3 linked regions of the Oryzias latipes genome follow. The protein of the gene in region 3 interacts with the protein of the main gene of each other region in a biochemical or structural test. Links are inferred from orthologs where the notes say so. Each region holds a gene or a part of one and is shown on either strand. Other genes may lie near its edges. The genes, in order: nfkb2, nfkb1 and B-cell lymphoma 3 protein.

Region 1 (10,204 bases), on a different chromosome or scaffold from region 3:
CAACAGAAAAACATTAAATACAGAAAAGAGAAAACCTGTGATATAAATTAGTGAAAACAAGAGTTAAATGTTGAAATCCTCGTTCTGTTTGACAATTTGTCTGGAAAATATGGACAAGTTCTTCTTTTACCCAGACTTTAAAGGCAGCAGAAGCCAAAGTTTCTGTGGGTCTGAAATGCAGCTCCCGCCCCCTCCTGACAAAGGAAGGACAGTGGGACTGTTTGCTGCATCAGTGATTGGCTGCAGGCTGTTGCTCCTCCTCCTCCATTGGCTGGCTGCTGAAGCCGCTGTCAACAGTGGCGTCTGATGGAACACAAAGATGAGAGAAGATGAGATCTGTGAAGAACAAACTCAACAAGCCTTTGGAGACCGCAGGAACTTCTGTCAGAAAAATACCAGACCGGAAATAGCAGATCCAGCTTTAAGGCAAACAGTTGCTCTTTGGACCTGATTTGTTCAACGTGGGTTTCTTCCATTTGGTGGGGGCGGAGTTTGACAAACAACTGTCTGGAGCTCACCTGTGCTGTGCTTATCCTCCTGCAGCTCTGCGTTCCTCAGCAGGCGGATTCCTTCTGTCAGACCGAGAGACTGAAGAGCTTTTACCAAATCGTCCACGGCGCCCCCACCCAGCTGGAGACACAAACGCAGACAAGAGCCGACAGTGAGGGGATGTGTGAAAGGGAATCTCAGAAATCTTCAGAGATTCTTAAGGAACGTGATCCTTAAAGAACAATCTGAACCAAGATGGCCCCATTTGTGGGGGAGCAGAACCAGAAGTAGGTTGAACAGTCTGACCAGTCCAGCCTGGATCTTCTCTAAATGCAGCATCAGGATGGATAAACTCAGCAGCAATGAAGGAGCATCCTGGACCTTTGGAGAGCTGCAGACTCCAAAGCTACGTTCACACCCCCCTTGGCAACGTGTGTTCAAGCGGCAGTTTCCAATGAAAGGTCTACGTAAACAAGTGTTAATATGCGTTTGGGCTTACATGTTCAAAACTCTTGCGTTCGCCTCCGAGTTGTTGGCGCGGAGTAAACCTTACCTCATTTCCCATGATCCATTTGTTTGCACTCTCTCCTGCTAGCTTTCCAGCCCCTCCCAACTCCAAGCTAACATTAGCAGTGCAACAAAAACGGTGAGCAATATTGGAGCTATCCAGGTGTACAGGTTTGAGTCAGACTCCAACTCAGACAAGGAAAACAAAAATGGACATGGATCTAGTGTCCTACAGGTGGATGCATCAGAATGGAGCAAGTGACCCGCCCACTGCACCACCTACGTCACTACAGGCTTTTCAAAACGACATTTTTTTCTCTGCTCCTGATTCACAACAATTATAAAAACTCAGAAAGTTTTCAGCTATTTTTATACATGTCCTGCATCAGAAAAATGTTACAAGAACATGCTAAAAACTTCCAAAATACTATTTTCTTTTGAGTGGATCTTTACTGAACCTCCACTGTGAACACAGATCGAGACACAGGTCGTCTGCACCGACTTTCTAATGACTATTCTTTGATGAGCAGAAGAGGAGCGTTTCTGGACTTGTCGGTATTTGAAAACCTGTGAGCTCATGCACATGTGTGTGAGCATGTTACCTTGTAGTGCTGCAGCAGGTGGTGGCAGGGGGTGGGGCTATCCTGGTACAGGTGAGTCAGGGTCATCATGCCCAGCTTCTCCGCCAGCTTTATCCAGGGAATGTCGCTGACGCTCAGCACCTCCACCAGCTGGGCCAGCGTGTCCTCGTTCAGCCCCGACCCCTCGGCGCCTGCAGCCCGGCAGCGTGTTAGAGTGAACATGCATGGGTGTGAATGTTGTTAGCATGCATGTGAGCACCTACCTTCACCGCTGTTGGCTTTGATCTTCTTGTTGCTGTGGCGACTTGCTGTGGGACTCTGGCCGCTTTGCAGCAGGTTCCTCACCTGGACCCAGAAGTTAGGGCAAACATTAGAAACTGGACCCGGCTCGGCTCCTCAGAGGCGCTCCTGAGGATGTGTCACCTTGTGGCAAGTGGCGAGGTCCAGAGGGGTGTGTCCTGCCCGTCTCTTGCGAGTGTTGATTGGCTGAGAAGCGGCTCGTTCCGCGAGCTCCTCCCTGGTTAGTTCGCTCTCGTCCACTTCTTCATCTGACGAGGAGCTGCAGGAGAGTGGCTCGTCGTTCTGGATGTTCTTGTCTGCGCCTGAGGAGCACCAGACAGGTGAGCATGTGGGCAGAGCAGGGGGGCCTGCGATTGGCGGCACGACTCACCTGCTGCGATCAGCATAGAGCAGAGCGTGGGGGAGCCCAGGCTGGCGGCCAGGTGCAGCGGCGTGTTTCCTCCAAACGTGCAGGCATTGGTGTCCGCCTTTAGCTGAGGATGCAAGGTGTCATGTTAGGGGCGGAGCCATAAGTTGCTGTATATATAGGAGACCCCTCCCTGGTGGCTGTGTTACCTCTGTGATAAGCGTGCAGGCAACCTTGAACAGGTTTTCTCTCACAGCCAGGTGGAGTGCCGTGTTCCCACTCTTCTGCTCTGGGGCATTAATTTTAGCTCCGCCCTCAATCAGCAGACGCAGGCAGCGCTCGCCGTCCCTCCTCACAGCGAGGTGCAGCGGCTGAAGACCTGCAGACAGACAGCTCTGAAACAAAGTGTCGGCGCCACGACTGAAGAGCATACGGCGCCTCCTTCACCATGGTAGTCAGGCGTGTTCACCAGGTGGCTGTGGCGTTCTCCCATGTGAGACAGCAGGAGGCGGAGCAATGAGCTGTCGCCTGCCAGTGCTGCCAGGTGGAGAGGGCTCCGACCGTCTTTGTCTGGAAGGGTGGGGTCAGCCCCCGCCCTCAGCAGCGCCTCCACCACCTTTGGTTGACGGGTGATCACCGCCAGGTGAAGGGGAGTCTAGAGCGAGCAGAGAGGGATGAGTCAGCAGGCAGGTGGGAGGTGGGCGTGGCTAAAACGTGAGAGGTGATTACCTGCTGGAGGTGATTGGTGGTGTTCAGGATCCGCTGCTGCCGGCTGCTGAGCAGAGTGTGGATGAGCTGCTGTGTCACACCTGTCTGCAGGTGGATGATGGACAGGTGCAGCGGCCTGGGAGGGCAGACAGCAGCGTCAGCAACACACCTTAAAACCCCCCCTTGAACCAGCAGTGAAGGCGGAGTTTAGGTGACACCGATGGGTGGGTCACTTACGTGTCTCCATTGGTGTCCTGGACGCTGCACAGGTGTGTCTGGATGGCGAGAAGAGCGCGAGTGTCCCCAGTGCGGCAGTACTGCAGCAGGGCAGCGGCGGTCTGCCGGGCGCTTTGAGACACACGGTTGTTGAGCGTGGCAGCTGCCAGCAAAAAATAAAAAATAAAAGTTAACAAAAAATTAGTTAACAAACTAGAGGCAGATGTGTGTAGCTCCTCCTCCTCCAGGTGTGTTACCAATTTGTAGCAGCTGTTGCTGCAGTGGTGAGCCTGCTGGTCTGTCGCTCTGCTGGGGGGCGGAGCCTGACATCTGAGCTGCTCCAGTAAAGCCTGTGAACCCTTCTGAGTAAAAAGTTCCGCCTCCTCCTCCGTTCATCTGCTGGTGGAATTGAAATCCTACCAAGGGGAACAAGAGAATTAGTCTGATCCACAACCCAGATGCCTCGATGGCATCACAGGAAGGCAGCAAAAGGACAAAAAAATTATTTTTTTAAATACCTCCAGCTCCTCCACTGGCTCCTCCCCCAAATCCCCCAGCGCCTCCCCCTCTTCCCCCTCCTCTCCAGGACTCATAGTGAGGCAGTGGCTTCTGCTTCTTCCTCAGAACCTCTTCTTTGTCTGAAAAAAGAAGAACTGTCATGTTTCTCTGCTGCGCGATCCTGAAGATGGAAGCAAAGCCACTGAGCACCTGCACAGGTACATGCACGAGCGCACGCACGCACGCCGCCTCACCTTGGACTTGTGGTATGTAGGTAAACTGTTTGGGGTCACTGCTGTCCCCGGCTTTCTTCCTCCGGAGCTGCAGGAAGACGGTGACAGACCGCTGGATCTCAGTGCTGTGATACGGCGGCGTCTTGAACACAATGGCATACTGAGAAGACAGACACGTTGAAAAAGGAAGGTGAGCAGCTCTGATTTAATCTGAATCATTCAGCAGGTTCTTCATCACAAACATTAACCAGTGAAGGAGTTTGTGACTGAGCAGGAACACCAACCTGTTTGTGAACGTCGGTGGGGGAGAAGTCCCCGAACGCCTCCCAGCCGCCCTCATCGTCCTCCTCATAGAAGCGGATCTCAATGTCATCTGCAGGACACGATGGGACGTCAGCGTATCAGCGCATCTATCACAGGTTTGACCTTCGGGATGGGGGAGGGTCCTCACCTTTCTGCACTTTATCACACAGCAGGAAGATCTCATCTCCTCCGAGTACAGAGCCACAAGTCTTATCCATCCTGGAGATCTTCAGGTTGGAGGCATTGGGCGACTCTGTAGGTGAAACACGTGTCACTTCCAGCTGCGGTGAGCATCAGTGCTAAGCATGTGCAGTAACGTGCACACTCACTGCTATCATAAATGGGGTTGGACACCACAGGTTTGAGCGCGCGTGTGAAGCCTCCGTTGCTGTCCTGCAGGTAGGCAGTGAACTTGAGCCGCACAATGTTCAGGTCCATGCTCTTACTCAGCTCCTTCACCTCCTTCTGGATGGAGGCCTCTTCAGCATCTGCACACACACACTCCATCATCAGTGCTCACAGATCTAAGTGGGTTTGCGTATTTGCATCTGAGTTTGTGTGTTTGAACAGGTGTGTATGTAAACAGGAGCGTGTGTTTGCACATGTATGTGAATACTTCCACACGTGTGTGTTTGAGTATTTGCCCAGTTGTGTTTGTCAAACTGTGTGTGTGCGTACTTATGCATGTGTGTGACTATTTGTATGGGTGTGTGTGTGTGTGTTGTCACAGGTCTCAACGTGTGTGTACCTGTCAGGTGACAGTGTCCTCCGGTTTGTCTCCTCCTTTCCTCCCTCAGTCTTCGGGTCAGAACATCGACCACGCCCTTCTTGGTCACATGGAGGATCCCCAAATTACTGAACCTACAGGAAGTGACATCACATTCTTTATCAATCAGCCTGACTCTGCACAGGTGATAATGCTAAATCCATCAGAACTATTTAGTCTGTCCCTTGGGTTTAGGTTGTATTTAAATGTGTTGTGTTGATGCAGCTATGGGATTGGATACTAACGAGGCAGTGAGGTCGTTGGGGCCGACGTCCAGCACACAGGTGCCGCTCTCGGTGCAGTTGCGCCCCACCAGGCTGTGGGCGTGGACTCGCGGGGGGTCGGTGTGGGTGACGAGCTGCACCTCCACCCGGGCCTGACCCACATAGTTGTTAATCTAAGACACACACACAGCCGGTTACAGACACAACGGGCCATAGGATGTTTTTGTTCCAGCCTCCAAGGAGCAGCAGTCTGCAGCTGAAGCGGCTTTGGTTCACTCACCTTCACTGTCGGGTAGGTCCTTCTGTTTTTCTCGCTAGAGGCCCCTGGCAGCCCGCCGTGTGACGGACCCTCACACTCATAGCGGAAACGAAAGCCCCTCTGGAAGCACAAAGAGAGCAGCAGGTAAGTATCCACCAGAGAACCATTAAAACCAAAGATTGCTGACTGACAGGTGAAGGTCATGAGGGAAAATTCCAGCTATCTGCAAACTATCATCAGAACCCGCTGAATCCCTTTTGGGGTCATGGGGTTGCTGGAGCCAACCCAGCTACTATCGGGTGAAGGGGGGTACACCCTGAACAAGTCACCAGTCTGTTTCAGGACCACACACACTCACACTTAGAGTCACCAATTAACCCATGAAGCATGTTTTTGGACTGTGGACTGTGGAAGCCGGGGAAAAGTCACGCATGCATAGGGAGAACATACACGCTCCACACAGCTGGCATTCAAACCATTCTCACTGTGAGGCGAGATCGCTAACCACTACGCCACAGCGAGCCCAAGGAAAAATTCACTTCCAAAAAGGGCTGGGATGACACAAACATTTATCTGTAAGTAAACCAATGAATGCATTCCTGTTCCGATTGGGTTTTCTGTCATGTTTTGTTTTTTCATCTTTGTCCATCAGGAGGCGCCATTCATTCAAGCAGCAGTTCTGAATGTCAGTTTTCTGGTTCTGATGGCGTCGGGGTCACGGCCTGTTTGGGTCTGTTTGCAGCAGAGCTAATAACAAAGACTGTCATGATGAAGAGGAAGATCACACCAGACTTTGCTGGTAAATGAGTGCTGGGAAAGCCCTGGATAATAGGAAATGGCCGTTGAGGGCCTTGGGGGGGGGATTCCCACCATCGTCTGTGTCAGCTGTTCGTCATCCTCATCAAGATCTTGTTTTCACGAAGAACTTTTGAAGACGACTGAATGAGAAGAATCTGTGCACGGCTGCAAAAATGAAGATTGACTCTCAGGAGCGTCTCTGTAATCTGATGTAATCCAGAGCAGCTCTGCTCAGAGTCCAAACAGGTTTGATCACCAAATCAATCAACTTCTGTTTTAAGCTTCAAAAGATACCTGTCCACGTTTTAAAATGAGCTTTTTTATTTTTAAAAAACAACTGCCAATACTAAAAACATTCAAATGTTTACAAGAACTTCCACATTCATAAAAGCCTGTGAGCAAAAAGAAGAACCAATCAAATGCACCAACTCAGTGGCCTTGGGGTAGAGGGTCTGCCCTGAGACTGGATGGTTGTGGAGTCAAATCCATTGTCGAGTCATACCAAAGAATTTAAAAATGGTACCCAGTGCCTCCCTGCTTGACACTCAGCATTAGCGGGTTTGACTGGGGAGTTAAGCCCCCAAATGGTTTTCCAAGTGTTGCTGTGTCTGCAGCTCCCTGCTCCCCCAGGGGGTGGGTCAAATGTGGAGAACAGATTTCACCCACCTAGGTGTGTGACAACTAACTTTAACTTTATTGGTGTCGCCAGACGCTAACTTTTTCACCCAAATACCAATACCAATTTCTCACCTGTTTGGGCTCTTCGATGATCTGGATGTACGGACCGTGAACTGAAACACAAACACAGCAGACGTATGAGCTGCAGGTCTCACGCCAACTTCAGCAGCTACATTGCAGGAAGGTGGAGGCAGATGGCAGAGGTCTGACTGAGCGTGCTCTGGGCAGCAGGAGAGAAGTTGGCTCTGCAGCAAACTGTGCGATGACGTCACACAGACGCCAGAGAACTCACCTGTCTCAGGTATGTAGGGTTCAGTCTTTATGTCCACTGGGGGAATGTAGTCATAAGGCATCAGGTTGAGCTGCAGCTGAAGGAGAGAAAAGCTCACGGTTAGCATCACAGCCTGATTATGAACACCGGCCGGGTTCTGAGCAGGAACGGGTCAGCTGGACCCGGCCAGCTGCCCAGAGCTGCAGGAGGAGTCATTTGATAAAAAGCAGTTTTCTAACCATAAGATAGTGATGGCGTTCAGGTCACCGCACGTATTGATTGCAAAGCTGTGGATTTTGTGTCATTTTTGTCTCTGGATGCACAAACACAACTCCCTGATTTTAAAAACAAACATCATCTGGATTTTGAAGCTCCCTCCTGAAGATCCTCTGTGATTTCAGCTTGAATATGTTTTTATTGTTCTGATAAAAGTGTCTCTGTTAAAACCTGACCTCTGACTTTGGTTTATAGATAAATTTGTTTATTTCTGCTTTTTGTCACTTAAATAAAAGAATTTGTCTCTAAGAAAAATCCCCAAAATCGATTTAAAATATAGAAAAAAAAATGAAAACAGCAATCCAATCATTTTCTTGAAAGGGTCAGATCTGGTATTCTGGCTCCACAGCTGCTCTTCAGAAGATCATCATCATCATCATCGCTCAGTTGATGACGGAGCTCCACTCCGTCTGAACATTTCTGACTAATTTCAGCAGCAGGTCAGATGATCACACATGACTCTGGAGCTGCAGGGACTTTCACTACTTCATGGTTGAAGCGTAATTCCAAGAATTACACAGATTCAAAACACTGACTGAAGTCTGTTTCCTCATAGCTGCAGTTTGTTCATCATGCAAGACGGTGTTCCATAGTCTAATTACAGTGAATAACGAGAAATCAAGACTCATTTAATGACATTATGACAAAAGGAAAATGTCAGATTTATTTGTTCTAATTTAAAACAGACTGAAAGCCTGGCTTCCATAAAGTCCAACTACGATCATTTTTTGATCTATTTTTAGTGTTCCCAGTGGTTTTTTAATTATGATTATACCGTTTTAAGCCAAATTTAAAAGAAAAAACCTGTCTTTTTCTAGGACAGAGTTTGTGCAGAGCGGCAGTTCATTAGAAATTCACGTCTGAGTTGTGAGCAGGACTGTTGGCACGGAGCAAGCCTGATACTTCCTGTCATCCATCTGTTTTTAGGCTCTCCCACTAGCTTACAGCCCCTCACAACCCCAACCCTGGGGCCAATCCCTGGAGCAATTTTGGAGCTATCCAACTGTACAGTTCTGAGCCAGATGTCAGACAAAGACGTTGGTGGATGTAATTGTCTACAGGTCGATGCATCAGAATGGAGCAGAGCAGGTAGCTTGTGGCTTGTTGTATTAATTTGTACGACACATTTAAAAGCTTTTTCCAACAGTGCTCCTTTTTTGTCATTTAAATAAAGAAATACTTAATAATGCCATTTTAATCTTTATTTTCTTAACATTTGTCCTCCATCATGAGAAAAATGCCACAAGAATATGTTAACAACACCAAAACCAATGATTTTCATTGGAGTGGGTCTTTAAACAGAAATAAAGATTAGAAATGTGTCAGCAAGTTGTCAGAGAGGTGAGGAAGACTGACCTCGTTGTCGTAGTTGATGAAGGAAGCTTCGCTCATCCTGTAGCACAAACACACAAACAGCAGTTGTCAGAATCCCTTCAGTCTCTGAACGCCTCACAGACTCCAAGAGTCTCAAAAACAAACTGCAGCACTTTCACTTTCACAACATGGGCGAGAAAGGCTAACTCCAACTCTCTCTCGCTCACTGCTACTCCCCCCCTCCCCTCCCCTCAGTTGTTTTCAGTCACTTCCTGGAAGTGGCGAGCTGAGGAAAACCCCCAGAATCCCAAGCAGAGAGCAGAGGGGCGGGGCGATGATGTCAGTCAGAATGAAGGAAAAGCTCTTGTGGCTCAGAGCCTATGACGCTCTGGACTCGGATTCCAGCCGGGTCAGCTGCAGGTCTGAGTCTGCAGACGGATCACTCTGACCCGGAAAGGCTGCATGTTTCTTCGGGACAGAAAAAAAAAACAAAGAAACATGGAGGCTCCACCCACCAACGAGTCCAGCTCTCTGTGTTACGCTCTGGTGACCTATGCTTACTGAAGGCTCCAGGAAACTGGTTCTTCAAAGTAAAAGTCTGACATTCCTGTGAGGATGCACCGACTGTAATCAGAGTATTTTCTGTGAAGTTGTCACACAGGCAAAGCACAGACCTGAAGCGGCGAACAGACCTTCTGCAGGTTCCTTCAGCGGCGACGCTCTGACACTTCACTTCCTCTCTGCTCGGCTCGCCGTGCGTCTCTGCCTTTTCTGTCTGACTTCCTGTCTCTTCCCCTCTGAGAAAAACCCGCCTCACATCACAGTTTGACTCAGTCCTCATCTGAAGCACCTTTCCCCTCAGCGGCGGGACGTCCCCCTTCAGACTGCGCCAGACAATCAGAGCGCTGCATCACCACCCTTGTTTACATAAAAGTCCAACAGTGCAAAAAAATAATAAAAGGGGGCAAAAACCCAACGGGGAAGTCAAAGGAATCTACAGAACTACCTCACCAGCTCTCATCCTGAAACCTGCTCCTGGCAGGTGGTTGCCATGGCAACAGCATCAAAGTTCCAATAAGCTGCACTTAAACAGAACAGTCTGATTGTCTGATCATCTAATAATTAATCTGATGGTGTCATGACTTCAAGAAAGGATCTGTATTTCCCTTAAAACGTCATTCCTGGTGTTTGAAGGAACACCTAGGCTTTTTCTGCTTTCACGAAAGTGTCACTTTGATGTTCAGGCACGGCAGCACCCCCACATTCAGATTCTTCCTCCCCCAACACCACATCCCTCTGTCCGGGCTGCAGAAACGTTTCCAGCTACTCATTCTGGCTGCTCTCATTTCTTCTCTGCTTCCTCGGAAGCCGAACTACCCTTCTTTGAGGAGCGAACATCTGAGACAACTTCTTCTTTTTCTTCTTTACATAATTACA
Region 2 (10,204 bases), on a different chromosome or scaffold from region 3:
GATCACACGTAGAGGAAGCAGAAACTGAGGAACCAGGAAGTGAGGCTGACGTCCCAGCCAGGGTTAACGAGCTCCGCTGGTGGGCGGGGTCTGGCCTTAGAACCATAAGAATCTGCATAGTGTTGGGCAGTCTTGGAAGACACGCCTTTGAAACATCTCATGACAGTTGAAAACCTCTGAACTGAAAGACCAGGGTGGGGGTCTTTGTATGTAAGGAGGGGGACTAGAGGGGGTTCTTCAACCAGACTACCAAAACTCCCCGGTAAGTCCACTCCAGAGTACCGGAGAGGAGATGTGTGATGGTCAAAACTCTGATCCAGGGGGGGGCAGTGGGGTTTCTGTCTCTACACTTTACACTGAGTTCTGGGGGGGTTGATGGCAGTTCTCCTGACCAATCCACATGTGTTTGTGGATTAGGGGGCAGGGCTCCAGACTGCGACCAAATGGTCGCATTTTGCGACCAAAATTTGAGAGTGTGCGACTGAATTTTACATCCAGTCGCACATGTGCCACCAGTAAATGTGCCTCCCCCACCCACCGTATGTTTTATACATTAAACGTGGAAGGGGCACGTCAATGATCAATGAAATCATCAATGAGACGCGAGCGCACACACGCGCAGACAGACACACACACTCGCGCGAATACTCATGAGACTGGAGCACACGCGAGCGCACACTCGCGTGTCATTGAGTGATGCCTGAGGCGGCCAATGCGTGTGAGAAGAATAGGGAAGGTCACTGCAAGTGGCTAAAATGTGTGTAGGGGGCGGGGCTTAGAGATAATCGAGTGCGCGTAAACATCTGTGGGAAGGAAACGGAGACAAATATCATCACAACCTGATATGTGCGTCTGAGCTATGAGCAAGAGAACTATTGATTCGTTCTTCCGACCTGCGGCTAGTGTACCAGTGCCAGAGTGTACAGCAGGGGTCTCAAACTCGCGAAGCAAAGCACTGTTCTCGTGCGCGGCTGTCACTGCAGCACACCGCTCCCGCGGGAGTCGGGGCAGCTGATAAGAATAAATGTCCCACACCTACATGCGTGACAGCTAACGGGGCTTGAACTTTAAACACGTGTGAGCGACAACACGATTTAGTCTTAGACACATTTAAAACACGTTTTGAAAATGCAACGATAGACGTGTTTACGATGAACCAGCGCCCTGGGGGTGGGGGTGGGGCATGAAGGCGAAGCTGCAGCGAGACTGAAGAGGAACAGGAAGTTGGAGTTGTCCTTAAGATTCAATTTAGTTTTAATATTCCTCTCCCCCTCAGTATGATCTGTGATATTACATCTTTTATAATTATTTTAATGTTTTGTGATGTATGTAGCCTTTTTTAATCAGTTGGTATTTAAGATTATTTTAATTAATCAGTGAACTAAAAAAAAACCTCAGGACGCATGTCCCATAATGCATTGTTTTGTAGTCTGTAGGGCAGCTTTCAGTCAGTTCAGTACTAAATTTCCAGCTGCGTTCGCTCAGGTTGGGGTCTTGCTTCCGCCCCTTTCTCGTGATATTTTTGTTTTGATTGACAGGTGATGTTGGAGCAAAAACAAAAATATACATCTCACACCAGGTGATCTGTGCAGCGTTGAGTTCACCTGGGTGATTTCAAATTATTGTGCATCTTGGCTGAACCTATTTGGTGTCACCAACATGTATTTCCATCCCCTAATGTTTACATACATTTAAGTATCGTTTGAAACTGTGAAATGACCAAAAGGTTACTACGGTAATCACTTTGTTACTAAAAACTTTTTTTTATTCTAAATGTATGGTATTTTTTTTACTATTTTTACTTAGTTGTACTGTCGTGACAGCGATGCTGCTGTCAGTTTACCTTCTTGTTGCATCTTCAAAAGTGCAGAATAAAATGTGACACTGAATTAGAAACAGCTCATTGTAATTTCTGCATCTATTATTAAAGTATTTATTAGTAATACGGTGGAAATTAGTAGATTTGGTTAGCATGTTGATTTACGCCATGCGCCCCTAAATTTTCTGGTTGTGCCCCTAAAATTTTCAGTAGGGGGCCACTGTGCTCCTAGTGAAAAAGGTTAGTCTGGAGCCCTGTTAGGGGGGGGGGGAGTATTCTTCTCCCTTCTGGTCTGGGGGGGTGCTCTGAAAGTATGAGATCCAGAAAGGTCTGCAGAACCGGGGCAGGAGTTTGGTTTGTTTAGCCGGCACCAAGTCAAACCCGTTCCTGGTGCTTCACACGTTTTCCTGTTGGCATCATTTCCCTGTCAAATAAGTTGGAGTGGTTTCCTAACCACAAACCGACTGAGGAGGAAGAAGCCCCTCCCAGATGAAGATGACGCTGTCACACTGAAGCCAGCGTCTCCACCTGTCAATCATTCACACTCAATGAAAGATGAAACTGCAGGAAACCTGATTTCTTTCCGACTGTTCAGTTTCTCTTTCCTTATTGGCTGCTTGCTCCTGATTTCTGGGATTTGATTGGCCCAGCGGCTCACATGCAGCATCTGACATCATCAGATGGTCAAAACAAAGACAAGAACGGCCCAAATGTGAAGGTGAAGAACAATAAAATGAAGGGAAACGACAAAACCTCCAAACAAATAACAGAGCTTATGTGGAGTGACCCCTCTTATGTAGCTGTGTGTGGGAGGGGCTGAGTCACTGCGATCACGGAGTAATGGAGACTAGGGTTGGGCGATGTCCCCTAATTTGGCCGTTGACGATGTTTGCTGTCAACCATCGGCATGGACGATGACATCGTCGGGGGGGGGGGGGGGGGGGGTATTTTTTAAATTTTTCGTTCTTATATAACTGCTATTCATTATTTTGCTTTTTTCATTTTATTTCCCAACTAATGGTTAATCCGCGATGATCCAGTATAAACTGAGGGAAGTGACTTTAACAGAAAAAGTAACAAGCAAAATAGAAAAGAAGTAGTCCGCTCCCGCACTTAACTAGCGAAGTGGACCGGCGGAGGGCGGATTTACAGCTTTATGTTTGATGGGAAGGGGGGGGGGGGGGTACATGAGCGGTATGTGTGGGAGATTTAAGACTGCGATCCGTCCCGCAGCTCTAGGGGTACAAGCTATCAAACTCAGAACCGGGTCTAAACGTGTGTCTGAGCACAGTTCGGATCGTCAGCACACAGCGGTTTGAGCTTCAAAGCAGAAATGTCGCTCAGTCCTTAGAAAACATTCAATCAATCACGTGGATTTGTGTTTCCAGTCGTGTCCCGACTAAATAAAGGCTGATGTTATTCACAGGATGCAGCGCCACCCAAAGCTAATGTTGTTAGCCCGTGTTAGCATACTGCTAATCCTGGCTCCGTTCAGAAAAAGCACTGACCACACGGATTAAAATTCAAATGATGAGCGAACAGGTGTTTCATAATAACCGTAACATTATTAAAAGCACGTTTAGAAGATCGTCTCGTATTTTACCGAGCTGACATGTCAATGTATATAGCCGCTCGGCGCTGTTTAACATTGTTTTGTATTGAATTGTTACATTCAATAAAGTTTGGAAAAAAAGCCGCTCGGCGGAAGTTATATCCTCTTCCGGTTTTCAAACTGCGCGTGTGCGAATGATTTATTCCGACCGAAATTGTGACCTTAGTGAACGTTTTTATATTCTGAAAACATTTTTCTGGGCCCATGTACACGGATGGATTCTAATCCGACCATTGACCCCATCAAGATATTTTGTACATGTAACCGCGGCTTATGATGTCGACGCGCAACGTGGCGGGGGCGTGGCATCACGATGGTGGTCTCTCCATCGGGATGTCAGTCACCCATCACGATGGACGATGATATCGTCCATCGGCACAACCCTAATGGAGACAGACCCTTCAGATGACCTGCTGCTGCAGGAGGCGGGGCCACAGCAGGAACCACGGCCGCACACCGTCACCGGGTCAATGCGTGTTACTCCATTGGAAAAGTCGCATAATCATGAAGAATAGTGATCATGGCTGAAGACAACCAAGCTTAACCCAAATCATGACGTTTCTATGGCAACACGTATCTGTTAGTTTGACTAAATATTGGAGTTTTCAGGTTTCAGCGGAACAAAACCAAGAAGAGCCACAGAGTGAACCATGAAGAAGAGACTGGACAGGAGACAAAGGACATGTCCATCCAGTAAGGCGGATGAAGGACGCCGTAATCACCGGCGTGAGCGCCAAACCACAACATGCGCGCCGGCTGTGACCGCCAACAGAGACGGGGGGCCCAATGGCCGGGACATCCGCTCCGGGGACCAACGAGTGGCGACTTTTCTGCGGGAGAAAGGAATTCAACGGTGGCGGCGTCAAGGCTCACCACAAACCCACCCCCACTTCCCATCATCCATACGTTTACGCGCTCCTCTGCCAGCTTACAGCCCCTCACACCCCCAACCTAACATTAGCATTACAACAAAAACGCAGAGCAGCATCAGGTCCGTCCATCCGTCTGGTTCTGATCCAGATTTCAGCTCAGTCCAGGAAAACAAAGACCTTCATGGATCTGTTGGTCTGCACGTGGATGATCAGAAAGGGGCGGAGCTTGGAGACCGTGGTCCCGCCCAGCGTATGTTTCGTCACAAAGACTATTTTTTTAAACCGTATTTTTTTATCTGATTCAAAACGATTTGAATGAAGAAATCCTCAGAAAAACATGTCCTCCATTATGAGAAAAGCGCCAAAAAAGCCGATTCCATCAGAGCCGGTCCAGACAGGCGTCGGTCAAACTGTCAAAGTTTCCAAAGACCAGTCCGGTTTCTGCTCTGGTTCATCTAAAACCGCTTTTACGTCTTTATTCTCAACTTCCAGAACTTTAGGTTGAGAACCGGCAGAGGCTGCAGCAGGAAAGCAGAACTTCCAACGAACATGCACACACGTGTGAAAACCGTCCCAGAAAAGCAGAAATCGCTGAGGCGGTAAATCCAGCTTCAAAGGGAACCATTTTCAGTTTTAGCAGCTGCTGTGGAGAAAATCTGTTTTTTCAGTACAAACTATTTAACATATTTGCTTTATTTACATATTTTTATTGTTTTATTGGATTTTTTCTCTTCCAGCTGCTGCGTATTTGCAGATTTACTATGGGAAATCCTGGGACGGTGAATTTGGCGAGGCTCTAACCTTGAATGACCTTTCTTGTTTTATCTATATAACTTTGTTTATTGAACATTTTACATTTGAACAGACATACAGAGTGTATAATGAGATGTCAGAACCAGGACAGTGATGTGTAAAAAACAAAAAAAGACACTCGAATGTCAGCCCCCCCCCCCCCCTTCAACAACTCCCTGAATGACCTTCCTGGACTCTGAGTGTGTTGGGTTGCCCACTGTTACACAGCCAGTGAACCTGACTGGATGTTTGTTCTTTAGACTGGACTCATTGAGTTCGCTGAAAGTGAACCAGAGTCTGTTACCCCCGACAATCCAGAACAGATGTTCAGTCTGGATCCAGACCAAACCAGAGGTTCAGAACCCGATCCGGAACAAAGCAGCGACTGCAGCTCGGTTCTGCGTTTGATCTGGTTTGTCGTGTTCAGGTTTAGAGAAACCTTCAGGGAGCAGAAATAAAGACGGGGTCACCAACGACGCTGGCGTTTTCCCGTGGCTCCTGCCTTTGCTCGGGGGCGCGAGGATGAGGAGGCTCTGAAGGTCAGACACACCCGACCGGTCTGTGACGAGGACTCACCTGTTTGCAGAGACGTGGACTGAGGCATCGCAGGGAAATGAGTAAACTCCCAGGACGGATCCATGATTAAGTTTCCATAAATCTGCTGGACACACACAGAGTTCTGGTGTCAGGATGTTCTGAGGAAGTTCTGGACTCCACCTCTGCAATGAGACCGGTTCCATCTGTGCTGCTTGGTGTTTGCAGCAGATCACTCTGAAAACCTGGACTCTGCTGAGGAACCTGGAGGTCCTGGAACTGCTCTTCATCATGAACATAGAACGATCCGAAAACCACGCTCATCAGAACATCCTGGTCCTCGTGCTGCAGGTAGGCTGGTGAACCCCCCAGAACCTGCAGAACACCTGACATTCAGAAAACTGGAACCAAAAGACTGGTGGAACCTCTTCAGACGGGACAGGATGGTAGAAGGTTCAGCTGGAAGAAACACGCCCAACGGAGGTTATGAGGGGTTCACCAACTTTTTCATGTGGGACCAGGGAACCAAACCGCCAACCCACCCATGTGGACCATGATCTTCACAGAGCAGATCAGCTCAACTACGAAAACATCATGAACATCTGTCCAAAAATGAGGTTTTCACAAACATCTGGGTCATTGTTCTGCAGGCTCCACCCCCTGCAGAGCAGGAAGAACGTACCTGGTTAGAAGCACGGAGGTAGTGGTCGTCTCCAGCCATGGCGTCTGCAGAGATCAAAGGTTAAACCATCATCATCTGCTGAATCTGAAGCTTCTTGTCCATTGACCATGTGGGCGGTGTCAGTACACAGACCCCCTACTACACCCACACAGACGTCCAACTGAGCCCACGCATACGGCTTCCTGCAGTGAGTAAACCTATGCAGACGCCCTACTAAAGCAATAACACCCACGCAGCCGTGGTACTACACCCATGCAGACGCCTTCCTGCAGTGACTACACCCACGCAGACTCCTTACTGATGCGACTACACCCACGCAGATGGCTTCCTGCCGTGACTACACCCACGCAGACTCCCTACCAAAGCAATAACATCCACGCAGACGCTGTACTACACCACGCAGACGCCTTCCTGCAGTGACTACACCGACGCGGACTCCTTACTGATGCGACTACACCCACGCAGACGCGGTACTACACCCATGCAGACGCCTTCCTTCAGTGACTACACCCAGGCGAACTCCTTACTGATGCGACTACACCCACGCAGAGGTCCAACTGAAGCAATTACATCCACGCAGACGCTGTACTACACCACACAGACGCCTTCCTGCAGTGACTACACCTACGCGGACTCCTTACTGATGCGACTACACCCACGCAGACGCGGTACTACACCCATGCAGACGCCTTCCTTCAGTGACTACACCCAGGCGAACTCCTTACTGATGCGACTACACCCACGCAGAGGTCCAACTGAAGCAATTACATCCACGCAGACGCTGTACTACACCACACAGACGCCTTCCTGCAGTGACTACACCTACGCGGACTCCTTACTGATGCGACTACACCCACGCAGAGGTCCAACTGAAGCAATTACATCCACGCAGACGCGGTACTACACCCATGCAAACGCCTTCCTGCAGTGACTACACCCACACGGACTCCTTACTGATGCGACTTCACCCACGCAGACGTCCAACTGAAGCAATTACATCCACGCAGACGCTGTACTACACCACACAGACGCCTTCCTGCAGTGACTACACCTACGCGGACTCCTTACTGATGCGACTACACCCACGCAGAGGTCCAACTGAAGCAATTACATCCACGCAGATGCGGTACTACACCCATGCAAACGCCTTCCTGCAGTGACTACACCCATGCAAACGCCTTCCTTCAGTGACTACACCGACGCGGACTCCTTACTGATGCGACTACACCCACGCAGACGCGGTACTACACCCATGCAGACGCCTTCCTTCAGTGACTACACCCAGGCGAACTCCTTACTGATGCGACTACACCCACGCAGAGGTCCAACTGAAGCAATTACATCCACGCAGACGCTGTACTACACCACACAGACGCCTTCCTGCAGTGACTAAACCGACGCGGACTCCTTACTGATGCGACTACACCCACGCAGACGCGGTACTACACCCATGCAGACGCCTTCCTTCAGTGACTACACCCATGCAAACGCCTTCCTGCAGTGACTACACCCATGCAAACGCCTTCCTGCAGTGACTACACCCATGCAAACGCCTTCCTTCAGTGACTACACCGACGCGGACTCCTTACTGATGCGACTACACCCACGCAGACGCGGTACTACACCCATGCAGACGCCTTCCTTCAGTGACTACACCCAGGCGAACTCCTTACTGATGCGACTACACCCACGCAGAGGTCCAACTGAAGCAATTACATCCACGCAGACGCTGTACTACACCACACAGACGCCTTCCTGCAGTGACTACACCTACGCGGACTCCTTACTGATGCGACTTCACCCACGCAGACGTCCAACTGAAGCAATTACATCCACGCAGACGCTGTACTACACCACACAGACGCCTTCCTGCAGTGACTAAACCGACGCGGACTCCTTACTGATGCGACTACACCCACGCAGACGCGGTACTACACCCATGCAGACGCCTTCCTTCAGTGACTACACCCATGCAAACGCCTTCCTGCAGTGACTACACCCATGCAAACGCCTTCCTTCAGTGACTACACCCACACAGACACCTTACTGATGCGACTTCACCCACGCACACGTCCAACTGAAGCAATTACATCCACGCATACGGCTTCCTGCCGTGACTACACCCACGCAGACTCCCCACTAAAGCAATAACATTCACGCAGATGCTGTACTACACCACGCAGACGCCTTCCTGCAGTGACGACACCCACGCGGACTCCTTACTGATGCGACTACACCCACGCAGACGCGGTACTACACCCATGCAGACGTCCAACTGAAGCAATTGCATCCACGCATACGACTTCCTGCCGTGACCACACCCACGCAGACTCCCTACTAAAGCAATAATATCCACGCAGACGCTGTACTACACCACGCAGACGCCTTCCTGCAGTGACTACACCCATGCAGACTCCCTACTAAAGCAATAACATCCACGCAGACGCTGTACTACACCCACGCGAACTCCTTACTGATGTGACTACACCCACGCAGACTCCTTACTGATGTGACTACACCCACGCAGACTCCTTACTGATGCGACTACACCCACGCATACTCCTTACTGATGCGACTACACCCACGCAGACTCCTTACTGATGCGACTACACCCACGCAGACTCCTTACTGATGCGACTACACCCACGCAGACTCCTTACTGATGCAACTACACCCACGCAGAGGTCCAACTGAAGCAATAACACCCACACAGCCGTGGTACTACACCCATGCAGACGCTTTCCTGCAGTGACTACACGCAGACGTCCAACTGAAGCACTTACATCCACGCAGACGGCTTCCTGCCGTGACTACACCCATGCAGACTCCTTACTGAAGCAATTACATCCACGCAGACGCCCTACTAAAGCAATAACATCCAGGCAGACGCTGTACTACACCAAGCAGACGCCTTCCTGCAGTGACTACACCCACGCAGACTCCTTACTGATGCAACTACACCCACGCAGAGGTCCAACTGAAGCAATAACACCCACACAGCCGTGGTACTACACCCATGCAGACGCTTTCCTGCAGTGACTACACGCAGACGTCCAACTGAAGCACTTACATCCACGCAGACGGCTTCCTGCCGTGACTACACCCATGCAGACTCCTTACTGAAGCAATTACATCCACGCAGACGCCCTACTGAAGCAATTACATCCACGCAGACGCCCTACTACACCTACCTGCAGAGACTACACCCACAAGTTAAGAAGATGCTTCACCTGCCAATGTGGAGGTCTCATGACCTTTTGCATCGTGTTCTCATTGGTGATTCCAGAAGCTGCTGAGACAAGAACTTAAGCGAGGTTCTAACAGTTTGTTCTTTAATTGCAGGAACATCTGTGAAAGTGATGATGATGACAGTAGAACCTCCTCCAAACTGAAGAGGCAGAAACCGTCACCATCGACAGGTTTGAATCAACCTTCCCATAACACAGAACCCTCAAAGTTCTGTCTGGCAGTTCAAACCGAAGCAACAACAACAACAACAACAACAACAACAACACAGAGCAGCAGATAAACAAACCAGCTGCCTATTTGTAAACAGTATGGGTGGGGGCGGGGATAGTCCAGGACTTTTTTATGAAAACAAAAATGTTCCCATCCTTCGTGCCAATTATTAAAGCGTTTTTTTCAACTTCGGAATTTGGGTAGGAACATCTGATTGTGCGCGTGCCTGCTGCGCGGGAACTCGCTCAGCCTCCTGAACGCCGCGAGGCTCGTTGTTTACGTTCTTTTAGAACACATTTACACATTTGCTGTCGGTCCCACGGTGAGCCCGTGCGTGGGCTCTTCCAGTCTGACTGCTGCGTTCACGGTCCGGTCCAAACAGTCAGAGATTCCGCCACGTGTTAAACTTAAACCGCCATGAGCCGACGTTCCCT
Region 3 (10,204 bases):
GGGAGCTCAGACAGAGCTGTGACGATGACTGTCTTTTGTGGTGATCTTCACTTCAGTCAGATTCCATCTGGAATATTGTAGTTTCAACCTCACAGAGCTTGACTCTGTATGTCCAGAGCCCTGACATCTGTTATCTCTTTGATGCTTGCTTGTTTGGAGGTAGTTGCAAATTCCATTGGTTGATAATGAGCTAATAAAAGGAAAACTGTGCAGATGAAGTCCTTGGAGAGTAGTTTGAATGAAGGGCGTGGGGCGTTGTGGAGGGTGAAGATCCAAGGCTTTGGTTGGAAGACGGGGAACCTATAAATATATAAATTAATAAATCATTTTATAGTCCATGAAAACTCGTTTATGACTTTGTTTATGATCTCACCATTTTCCATAAAAGTGCTCCCATGTGTTAATACTGACACGCAGTTCTGATCTCTGATCTGCTTGGTCCCTCTCCCCCGCAACACATCTATTATCTGCAGATTTGCAAACCGTAAACAATAAGATATCCAGGTATTTGGGTGAATTTTGCAGCATTGATCTTGCATCTGTTTTATCCAGCCTACAGGGTGTGTGCTTCTTCATGCAGGGTCAGTGGGAGGGGCTGAACTCAGTTTTGATAAGGAAAAAGGTGGAGTTCAGCATGAACAATAAACTTGAACAATAAAGTTATGGCAGGGAGAAGAATAGGGGGGAAAAACATGACACAAAATCCAAGACTACATACTAAACTATCTTGTGTGTCATTAACTGTGGAGAAAGTGCTCCCACCCCCCCAAAGAACCCACACTAGCCTGAGGAGATGTAAATCTCTCTGTAGCTCTGGAACAAACCAGAGACAGCTTTTCTCTCAGTCACTGAGTTGCATGTTGTTACAATGTGCTTACATTTATTTTATACCAGTTAACTGGTATAAAATAACACATTTTAACACATATTCCTCTGGAAATCACTAGTTTTCTGAAATGTTTTGACTGAAACCAGAAAAGGTAGGTACTATGGGACATCGCTGATTGGATGATGACGTTTGTCCATCATTTCAGTCGAAGGTTGTTTGGCATGAAGTCATACTGGATATGTTCTGGACTAATTATAAAACATTTTACAGTATGTGGACAATAAAGACGCATTTCAAAAAACTCAAATGTCATAAATCAAATCTCATCCTCCAACCAGCAATGTCCTATAGTACCTACCTTTTCTGGTTTCATGTCGTATTCCGTTTTTTAAACATTTCATGATTTCTGGAAACTACCGGTACTTATGTTTTCCAAAATGTTCCCGTTTTATTTTCTTTTTCTTTCTTTTTTTCTTTTTTTGGGGGGGGGGGTTGTGTTTTGGTGTCTGGAATTTTGTTGTAATTTCTTAAAGGTATTTTTTTTCTTATTTGTAATTGTGGTTGTGATCTTTAAAATGTTTTAGTGCCAATTTGTTGATGTGATTTGTACTTCAGGGCCACCGTAAATATTGCATCTTCCCCATTTGTCCACTAGAGGGGAAGATACACACACCTTTAAACCTCTTCTTGCTTTAATTTTTTTTTCTTTCTTTTTCTGGAGTTTGAGCATGTAAATCAAATAAATATTTTTATTTTGTTTTATGATTGAGACAGGATTTAGAAAATATGAGCACAATTATCTATTAATGGATCAAGTACAACATACATTATTTTCTTATTGTTCTTACTTTTTTGTTCTTGGCCACCATCACAGGTGTATCATTGTGGTAATTCTTCAGGCTACTGTCAGCTCCGCTTTTAAGTAGAACCCGCACGATGTCTACCTGACCTCGGCCACAGGCCACATGCAGGGCGGTGTTCCCGCTGTATGACTGTCTGTTGACGTCACATCGATTCTGTAACAAAGAAACAGATTTATTTGTGATTCATGCAGAAAACCACAGTAGCAGCAGATGGGTTTTAAAAAGACAACAAATTGTATTCGGATTAAATTAATTTTCTCTTTTATTTGTATAGCCCAAAATCACAACAACAGTCGTCTCAATGGGCTTCGTAAAGTAAAGTAAACATAAAATCATAAGAATCATGAATGCATAGAATTCAATAGGAAAATTCTAAACTGATTTAACTAAACAGACTAAACTAAACTGGGCATTTATTAGAGGAAGGACAACACCTTTGTTCATAGTGGCCATAGCGGGATTTAAAAAGATGACACTTTGGAAAATTTTCTTTGAAGTTTGGACAAAGAGAGAACCAGCCCTATTAGACAGAGCTGAGTCACAGCCCTTCTCTTTTCTCCCTGCCCACACAATCTCATTACCTCAACGAGGAAGTGAACCATGCCAGCATTATTGCTCTCCACGGCATGTACAAGAGGACTCTGGCCACTCTTGATGTCCTGATTGGGAGAAAAAAAAACATCTGAAAATCAAGAATTGAAAACTTTGATAGACTGTAAAATCAAGCTGCAACACGGACTTACCATAGCATTGATGTCAGCTCCAGCATCCAGCAGCATTTTTGCCAAATCCTGATGGCCTTGCTGAACAGCCATGTGCAGGGGGGTTAAACCTGTGAGCATTAAGTAAAGCCTGAGTTCTAGCAAAGCAACTGAACATCAAAGATTCTAATTCTGCATTCCCTGTAGACTATTCTTCTGTCAATACTCATTCTGAGAGCTTTCACACAGATGATGTCTCCTGTTCTGCATGCATATTTGCCAGAGTCACAAAACCGGGACACCATAACTGAAGAAGGAAATGTTTTCATCCCGCACAACCTCAAGACTCTAACCTCTACCTGAACTTTGGTTGAAAAACTATTTCCATGGCAACCTAACAGTTTCATTGTAAAGTAAAAGAAAAACAGAAAGAAAGAAGTGCAGGAATAGAAATCACCCCCTATAGTCATTTTGATTCATTTTAGAATGATATTTGACTAAATAAATGGTCCATACAGATAAAGCTTCTTCACTAGACTCAAAACTTACCCTCAAAGTTTCTAGCCTCCAGGCACGGGGAGGATGAAGATCGAGACAGCAGTGCAGACAGACAGTCCCGCTGGTCATATTCACAGCAGAGATGGAGCGCTGTTTGGCCGTGACGGTCCAAAGCGGAAGGGTCAGCGCCTGCTCCCAGCAGAGCGTCCACTAGAGTAGCCTGCTTTGTTATCACTGCAAGATGAAGAGGAGTCTGCAGAAAGACAACAGCAAAATCTGGGTTCAGGGCCAGAACTCAAACAAATAGGAAATTATTCTCTCAATGCAAAAAAAACCCAAACAACAATAGGGTATACAAACTTTATTATTTTGTGTGACAAATAAAAAAATGAACAGAGACTATCTTTAAAAAATAAATGATTGACAATGGAAATCCCCCCAAATCCTGTTAAAATCTTTCTGTTTGGTTACAATTTAGTTTTCATAGAACCTGCCATCATTTTTGCAGTTTTGTCCTTGGATGTCATATTTTTTGAGGAAAGTGTTTACTGCTTTTAATACAACGGTCACTGTTTTGCAACAAATTCGATTTGCTGTAGGTGTTACGCAGCATTAAAAGCTAACAGAGGCTCAATATCTCATTTGCTTCTTTTCTGACTTCTTAACTGCAAGTTGGCTTGAGCTTGCAAAGTAAATGGAGCAGACAAAACCCAATTGAAGTCTAGACTTTTGAAAACACAACAGCACTTCATTCTTTCCTGTAAGTAAAGTTTTTTTTCTGAAAGAAAATGGCCCCTTCATCTGTAACCAGAACAACGGGTTAGAGATCTAAGATCATTTAAAAAGGAGCTAGGATCCAACTTATCAACTGAACAGACAAGAAAATGTGTTTGGCAGGACCGTCACTATTAGCATTCCTACATGACTTACAGTAAATTTACCATGATGTGAAAAACTTTTACTTGTTTATACTCAGAGGCCTTCACAACGAAGAAAATTGTCCACTGTTCTAACCTGGGAGTGGAATTACTTCAAAAAGGTGGAACTTGTCATCTCTGCAAAGTCAGAAGATCGTCAGGTGTTTCTTTAAAATAAGGTATGGCGAGCAGGATCCCTCTGAATGCAAACGTTCTATCTGGACGAGGTCAGCATGTAAAAGTGGCCATGTGAACAAGCCTCTCATTTGAATCAGGCAATACAGTTCAGTTCAAACGCAGAAGTGACCTGACACAGCTTTTTCAGATGCTATTTAAGTTATAAAAATGATTCAATCGGGAACATACTTCATCTCAAAGTTTCACTTTTGCTATTTTAGTAACTGGAATACAAAGTGTGTTTGTGTGTGTGTGCACGTTGAAGGTTTGTTCCAGTAAAGGGAGTTGAGAAAGAAAAAGGCCCTTAAGCACCAAGAGAACAAAATCCAAGCATTCCTCATTCAGTTTTTCCTTCTGGGTACTCTATGAGTTGCATTTTTGTGTGCTTTAACAATTACAAGATATTCACTTCTGTAAATGTCCTTAGAGTTAAATAACATTATGCAAAAGAGGCCTCACCACTATCTTATTTCTGGGAAATAAAGAGTCCCAAGAGAGTTTCAGCAAACTCTAATCCAGCATTCGATGATTCGATGCTTTGAAGAATCAGGCCCAATGTTGTGCTTCAAGATGGTTTTGTCAGGATTTTGTTCATATTTCAGTTTCAATTTGATTCAAACTGACGTTTGGGCCTCAGATTGGCAGCATTCTGTAAACATAGCAGCACTTCTCTGACATCTGTATCAAAAAACACAGAAGTCTCCTGTACACAAGCCGGTTGAGACAGAAATAGTCATCCTATCAGAGAAAAGGTAACTATAACCAATGACATTTGGATATTATGTATATGAAAATGCATTTGTTCTTTGATAAATAAAAATGTAAATATTTTGTTCAGAGTGCAGTTTCATGGCATGTGCATGTAGAATTACTGGAAAATTAAACAGGAAGCATAGTGGGACGAGCTCCTTGGTTTGTTTAGTTTATTTAAAAAAGTAAATAACAGTTTTACCACCCCAAATTAAGAGTTAAAAACCTGTCTAAAAAAAGAGACCTAAAATAAAATCTTATGGTGAAGTTGGTGCATTTGCTTGTTCTCTTATTCTAATCCAACTTCCTGGAACGCAGTCGATTTTTGCAGGAAGTTTTACAAGAAGTTCTTGTAGGATTAACTTGCCGTGTTTTATTTTTATTTTTTATGACTCACTAACAAAACACCTATCACTATAACAAATCATCCAAATAAGAGTGTTATGGGGTTATAGGAGGTCAGCTGAAGATTTATCGGAATCATCAACCAGCGGGAGGCGGGCAGGGTACCTATGGACAGTTCATTAGTCCATCACATACTACATTTAAAATCACACATCTATGCAGACTGAAATTCACCTGATTAAAGAGGAGGAGTACATTAAGAAAACTAAGGCCTAAGCTCCAACATGAACCAACGTCCAAAGCTGTCAGGTGACAGAGCACACTACCACATAGTTTGTTGCCAGCGGTGAACGTTAGATAACCCTGTCAGATGACTGGAAAAGTTGCAAAAGTTACCAAACTAAGGATTGCAATTCTCAACAGACAGTGGTTTTGGCTTCTCCTGTCTGACAAATGAAATGGATAATGTCAAAGCTTATCAGCAGGAAATTCCATACATTTGAAAAGAAATGTTTTTTTTTTTTACTTCTGCATCACACCCCACTATATAAGTAGAGGAGCCAATTCTAAACTTACTTGGAAATCTGACATGCATCATATATTGATGGAAAAATAATTAGATATCACCCATATCAACGCCTGCATCACTGCCTTATCCAAACAAATCCTCAGCTTTTCCCCTTAAGCCAAGGACACTTCCCAGATAAACCCTCCTTTGTCCTTCAAAACAAACACCTCAGGGCCGGCAAAGTCACGCCAGTGCTTCCTGTAAAGGATTTCAGAATGACTTGACAAAAAAGACAACAAAGATAAGAGGAAGGGAGTGAAGGGGGGAGTTGGTTTGGTGAGACTGTGGAATGAGGAAAAAGCGGAAGGGGCGGGAGGCAGCACAGGGGAAAGACAGTATGAGGAGGGAAAATCCCTACACTTTTCCCTGAGTCTGTCCTCACACACTTGCATTCCTGAGAAATGAGCCGGTCAACATGAATGGGGTAAAAAAGATGGGAAGAGAAAAGACGTAAAAAACAGCCACAGGCTGAAGGCAGTGCTAGACACATTGCAAGAGAGAAGGAAGGCAGCATAAAGAACTCATAGTCTGCAGCAGACGTTGGAGGCTGAAAACCAGTTCTGTTGTGCAAATAAATATCAACCATGAGCTCTTACTTGTTTGCACACATCACACCAGCATTAATCATTTCACATGTGTAGGTTACTGAAATGTTGAAGGATAAACACAGTAAGAGATGTGAAAAAAAAATATTAAAAAAAAGATATCAGAGAGAGAGTGGCTTCCAGACCAGCACGCGCTGGAAGGGAAAGTCCCTGTAAACTACCCTCTGAACCTCAGCGCAAGGTATGTTGAGAAACCGCCTGAAGCAAGACAGGCGGGGAGGGGGGAGGGGGGGGGGTCATGTGACTTCTCGGAACATAGATACTAAAGTACACACACACACAGACGTTTTCTTTGTTCACACAACTTCACACAAGCTCATACAGACAATAAAAGAGATCACATAAAAAAAACACACACACACAACTATTGAACAGTGGCACACTCTCTGTGTGGCAACATTTGCTCAGCGCGGACTACATTTCGCTGCACATGGGAGTTTGTGTGTAGGTGGCCCTGAGGGATTCAGTCACGAAACTCCACCAGTGTACTGTAAGTGCCTCCACCAGCAACGCCGTCAGCTGTCACAACAGCAGCAAATGAAACTATTGATTGTCTTTGCAGGGGTACCATGACCAAAGTGGGAGTATCAAAGAGCAAAGAGGCAAATCACACACAGAGCCCTGCAGAACTGCTCAGTGACAACACTGATAGTAACACTCTGTCAAAACGTTGTACCCAATAAAAACCACAAAAACACAGGATCTGTCATCAATGTTGGAAAATACAACAATTTTTGTTTTTTGTGCATCAGAAGTTAGCCAATGCTGGAAATTGTCCTCAAGGTTTGTTTAGTAAGCTTTATGTTTTGAAAATTAAAAAGTTCCCTGCAGCCTTATTTAGATTAGTGTATTCTTTATTCCTGGTATTCAGTCAAAACCACACAATCTGGTAGGCAAATGATGGTGACGGGACCCGCGTCTGCAAATCTCCCTTTGCTCGTAACTGCAAGTGACAAAAAAATCTGTGCGTGAAGAGACGGTTGGAGTGTGTGTGCAAACGTTCATGTGCATGGCTAAGGCAGTTTACAACAAAAGCCAGGTTGTCAAACCTCTCTGATAAGGAAAATGAGCCACCAGTGATAAATGGCTGCATAATTTCTGGTAAGCGCGCCTGTGGTGGCATGCATGGTGTGAAAAACCCAGGCTTGAGAACAACAACTCTGCACTGTTCAGGTGTTTTCTTTGTGGATAGATTTTAAAAAGCAGCTGGTAGAGAGCAGATAAGGAAGGTAATGAGCTTGAGAGAAGAGAGGGGAGAGCATGTGGAAGTGTTGGAATCAGGCAGGGACTTTGGACAACCCTGGATTGGGAAACACTTAAAAGGAAATCCTTGTGCACATTCCAGTATGCTGCAGTTTAGGTCATATAAGGTTACTAAATCTGAAATGCCTCCCTGCTTGACACTCAGCATTGATGGGTTGGGTTGGGGGTGAAACCACCAAATGGTGTCTGCAGCTCACCGCTCCCCCAGGGGGTGGGTCAAATGTGGAGAGCACATTTCAGACATCTAGGTGTGTGACAGCTAGTGGGACTTTAGAAAATGAAACTTTTAATTTTTTTTTAAATCTGCAAACAGACTAGTTATGCCAGTGACATTGCTTTGAATCTGTTTGTAAATTTATGCCACTCCAGATAGTCAAAACTCCACGTTATTTCCTGACACCTACTACTAATGCAAGGCAGGAACCTGTACAACCCGAGCTTCTGCAATTATGAGATGCATAGACATTAACAGGAGGCATTCCATGCACCTCAATCATCCTTATTTTGAATTTCACAATCTGGTAAACCCTGCACGTTAAGTGTGAAAAATCCCTACTTAAAGGGAAACTGGTTGCTAGAAGAACCATAAACAATATAAAAAACAGAACATGGGAAAGCACGCACAGTCCTTCCCAAAATGCACATTGTTGGAGGTTATGGCAACCACACGTGGAGAAACCAGGAAGGGTGAATTCCTGTGCATGGACCTCAACTGTCATGACTGTAAGAGTGTGAGATAACACAGAAAGCTGCAAAACGGAAACCAATGCTCTTCATGTTTTTCTTTTTTTAACCTTTTTTAACATATCAGCATTATTAGATAGGAAAGGAGAGAAGGGTTTGTGTCTTAGAGATACTTAAAGACCCACTTCAATGAAAAGCATGTTTTTGGTGTTTCTGACATGTTCTTGTTGGATTTTTCTTGTGACAGAGTACATTTGTGAAGAAAATTCAGATTAAAATTGCAATTTCTGCGTATTTCTTTTTTCAAGTTGTTGTGAATCAAGAGCAGGCCAGAAAATTTAGATTGTAAAAGCTTGTAAGTGTGACCTAGAAGCTACTATGTTAAGCCTCAAGCTACCCACTCCATTCCATTCAGATGCATCCACTTGCAGAAAAAAAAGATCCTTGTACATATTTGTTTTCCTCGTCTGAGCTGGCATCTGGCTCAGAAATGTACGACTGGATTGCTACGAAATTAGTCACCATTTTTGTTGCACCACTAATGTTAGGTTGGGGTTGTGAGAGGCTGTAAGCTAGCGAGAGAGAGGGTAAACAAATGGATGATGGGAACTGAGGGTAAGCTTACTTCGTGCCAACAGTTATGCTCTTAACTCAAAAGGCGAATTTCTATGAACTACTGCCGCTCTGCAGAAACTATGTCCTACAAAATCACAGATTGCTAACTATAGAACAGTAGCGGAAGATATCTTTCTATTTTAAAACATTTAAATACCCTTAAAGAATTCAAATCAAGTGTTTAACCATTTAGGTGAAACGTTTTTTCCTGGGGCAAAAAAAAAAAAAAATCTGAGATGTTTCCTTATGTTAAAAAAAGTCACTTTCTGATTTTTTTATCATCTGAGGGTTGAATAAACGGGCTTGCGTGGTCGTGTCGCCTTACAACAAGAAAGCTATATGAATACATCTGTATTTATTTATTGGCTCTGTGTGTTTTTTGTTTGTTTGTTTGTTTAGCAAATAAATATAGAATTAGGGGTTTTCAATTTGAAATTGTGTTGAATCCATGAATAATTGTTTTAATTCAGTATAACCCTTGGGGCACTTCCTTTCCTTGTGTCTGTGGCAGGTATGTAAAGCGTAAATTCTAAAGCTGTAGTTTCACCTGACGAAGATTGTTGTAGATGTCAAGTCCTCTGCGAGCGCACAGCAAAAGGTGGATAAGTTTGCAGACAATGGCGTAGTTTCCCTGCACCACAGCAATATGGAGGGCTCTATGGTGAGAACAAAGACACAAATGCACAATTAGCAAACAAAACACTTATTGCATTCTAAAAAACATTCCAGGCACAAATCCCACTCGCATGAAAAGTATGTTTTGGTTTTTTTAACATGTTATTGTGGCATTTTTCTGATGATGGAGGCAATATATTAGGAAAATGAGGCTCAAAATTGCATTTTTAAGTATTTCTTTATTCAAATGATTGTGAATCAGAACAAGGAACCCTAGTCTCCCAGGTGCCAGTCCTACATGCAGCCAACTGAGCCATCATGTGATTAGTAGAATTTAATTAAGTAGTTGCCAGCTGCTAATTGTTTTGTGTGTCCCTAGTCTAAACATCTATATTCTGTGACATAATTGTGCATTCTCTCTTCCTGTATTGAAATTCTTAAAATGAATATTCAACATAATAAAATCATTAAAGAAAATAAAGTTTAGCCCCAAAAAAAGAGGGGTGTGTGCAAATATACCTCTCTTCTGTCCAAAGATTACAAAGTCAGGTCTAAAACACCATCTATCCATCAGAGGAGGCTCTCAGATTCTATCTGTTTGCTTGGCTACGGATAAAATCCTTTTTAAAATAAATAAATACATAAATCAAGATGGAGGAATTTGGTATATTTTTATGTAAAACATCACTCTGCACATATTGTCCACAGACAATGCACATAACCTTTAAGTAAACTTGAAAGTTCACAAATCCAGAGAAAAGAGTAATTGTCAGA

Evidence for each region.
Region 1: the proteins of B-cell lymphoma 3 protein (region 3) and nfkb2 form a complex in vitro, tested with the Homo sapiens proteins (2 studies listed by BioGRID). The link is inferred for Oryzias latipes from reciprocal best matches to the Homo sapiens genes BCL3 and NFKB2.
Region 2: the proteins of B-cell lymphoma 3 protein (region 3) and nfkb1 form a complex in vitro, tested with the Homo sapiens proteins (2 studies listed by BioGRID). The link is inferred for Oryzias latipes from reciprocal best matches to the Homo sapiens genes BCL3 and NFKB1.

What each region holds. Positions count from the first base shown.
Region 1 is NC_019873.2:12,630,441-12,640,644, forward strand, and holds the start of nfkb2 (nuclear factor NF-kappa-B p100 subunit), read right to left. Parts: upstream 9,624-10,204; 5' UTR 9,609-9,623; coding exon 9,442-9,608; intron 8,847-9,441; coding exon 8,810-8,846; intron 7,275-8,809; coding exon 7,199-7,274; intron 7,020-7,198; coding exon 6,979-7,019; intron 5,551-6,978; coding exon 5,452-5,550; intron 5,345-5,451; coding exon 5,193-5,344; intron 5,043-5,192; coding exon 4,930-5,042; intron 4,670-4,929; coding exon 4,511-4,669; intron 4,435-4,510; coding exon 4,330-4,434; intron 4,252-4,329; coding exon 4,163-4,251; intron 4,039-4,162; coding exon 3,900-4,038; intron 3,786-3,899; coding exon 3,666-3,785; intron 3,564-3,665; coding exon 3,405-3,563; intron 3,311-3,404; coding exon 3,169-3,310; intron 3,068-3,168; coding exon 2,953-3,067; intron 2,879-2,952; coding exon 2,671-2,878; intron 2,603-2,670; coding exon 2,433-2,602; intron 2,351-2,432; coding exon 2,248-2,350; intron 2,180-2,247; coding exon 2,001-2,179; intron 1,923-2,000; and 8 more. UniProt on the Homo sapiens protein: NF-kappa-B is a pleiotropic transcription factor present in almost all cell types and is the endpoint of a series of signal transduction events that are initiated by a vast array of stimuli related to many biological processes such as inflammation, immunity, differentiation, cell growth, tumorigenesis and apoptosis.
Region 2 is NC_019868.2:30,827,132-30,837,335, reverse strand, and holds part of nfkb1 (nuclear factor NF-kappa-B p105 subunit), read right to left. Parts: intron 9,522-10,204; exon of another isoform or gene 9,503-9,521; intron 6,356-9,502; 5' UTR 6,351-6,355; coding exon 6,312-6,350; intron 5,757-6,311; coding exon 5,672-5,756; intron 1-5,671.
Region 3 is NC_019874.2:21,827,969-21,838,172, reverse strand, and holds part of B-cell lymphoma 3 protein, read right to left. Parts: intron 9,472-10,204; coding exon 9,363-9,471; intron 3,145-9,362; coding exon 2,943-3,144; intron 2,525-2,942; coding exon 2,436-2,524; intron 2,352-2,435; coding exon 2,274-2,351; intron 1,846-2,273; coding exon 1,678-1,845; intron 468-1,677; coding exon 374-467; intron 301-373; coding exon 191-300; 3' UTR 1-190. UniProt on the Homo sapiens protein: Contributes to the regulation of transcriptional activation of NF-kappa-B target genes. In the cytoplasm, inhibits the nuclear translocation of the NF-kappa-B p50 subunit.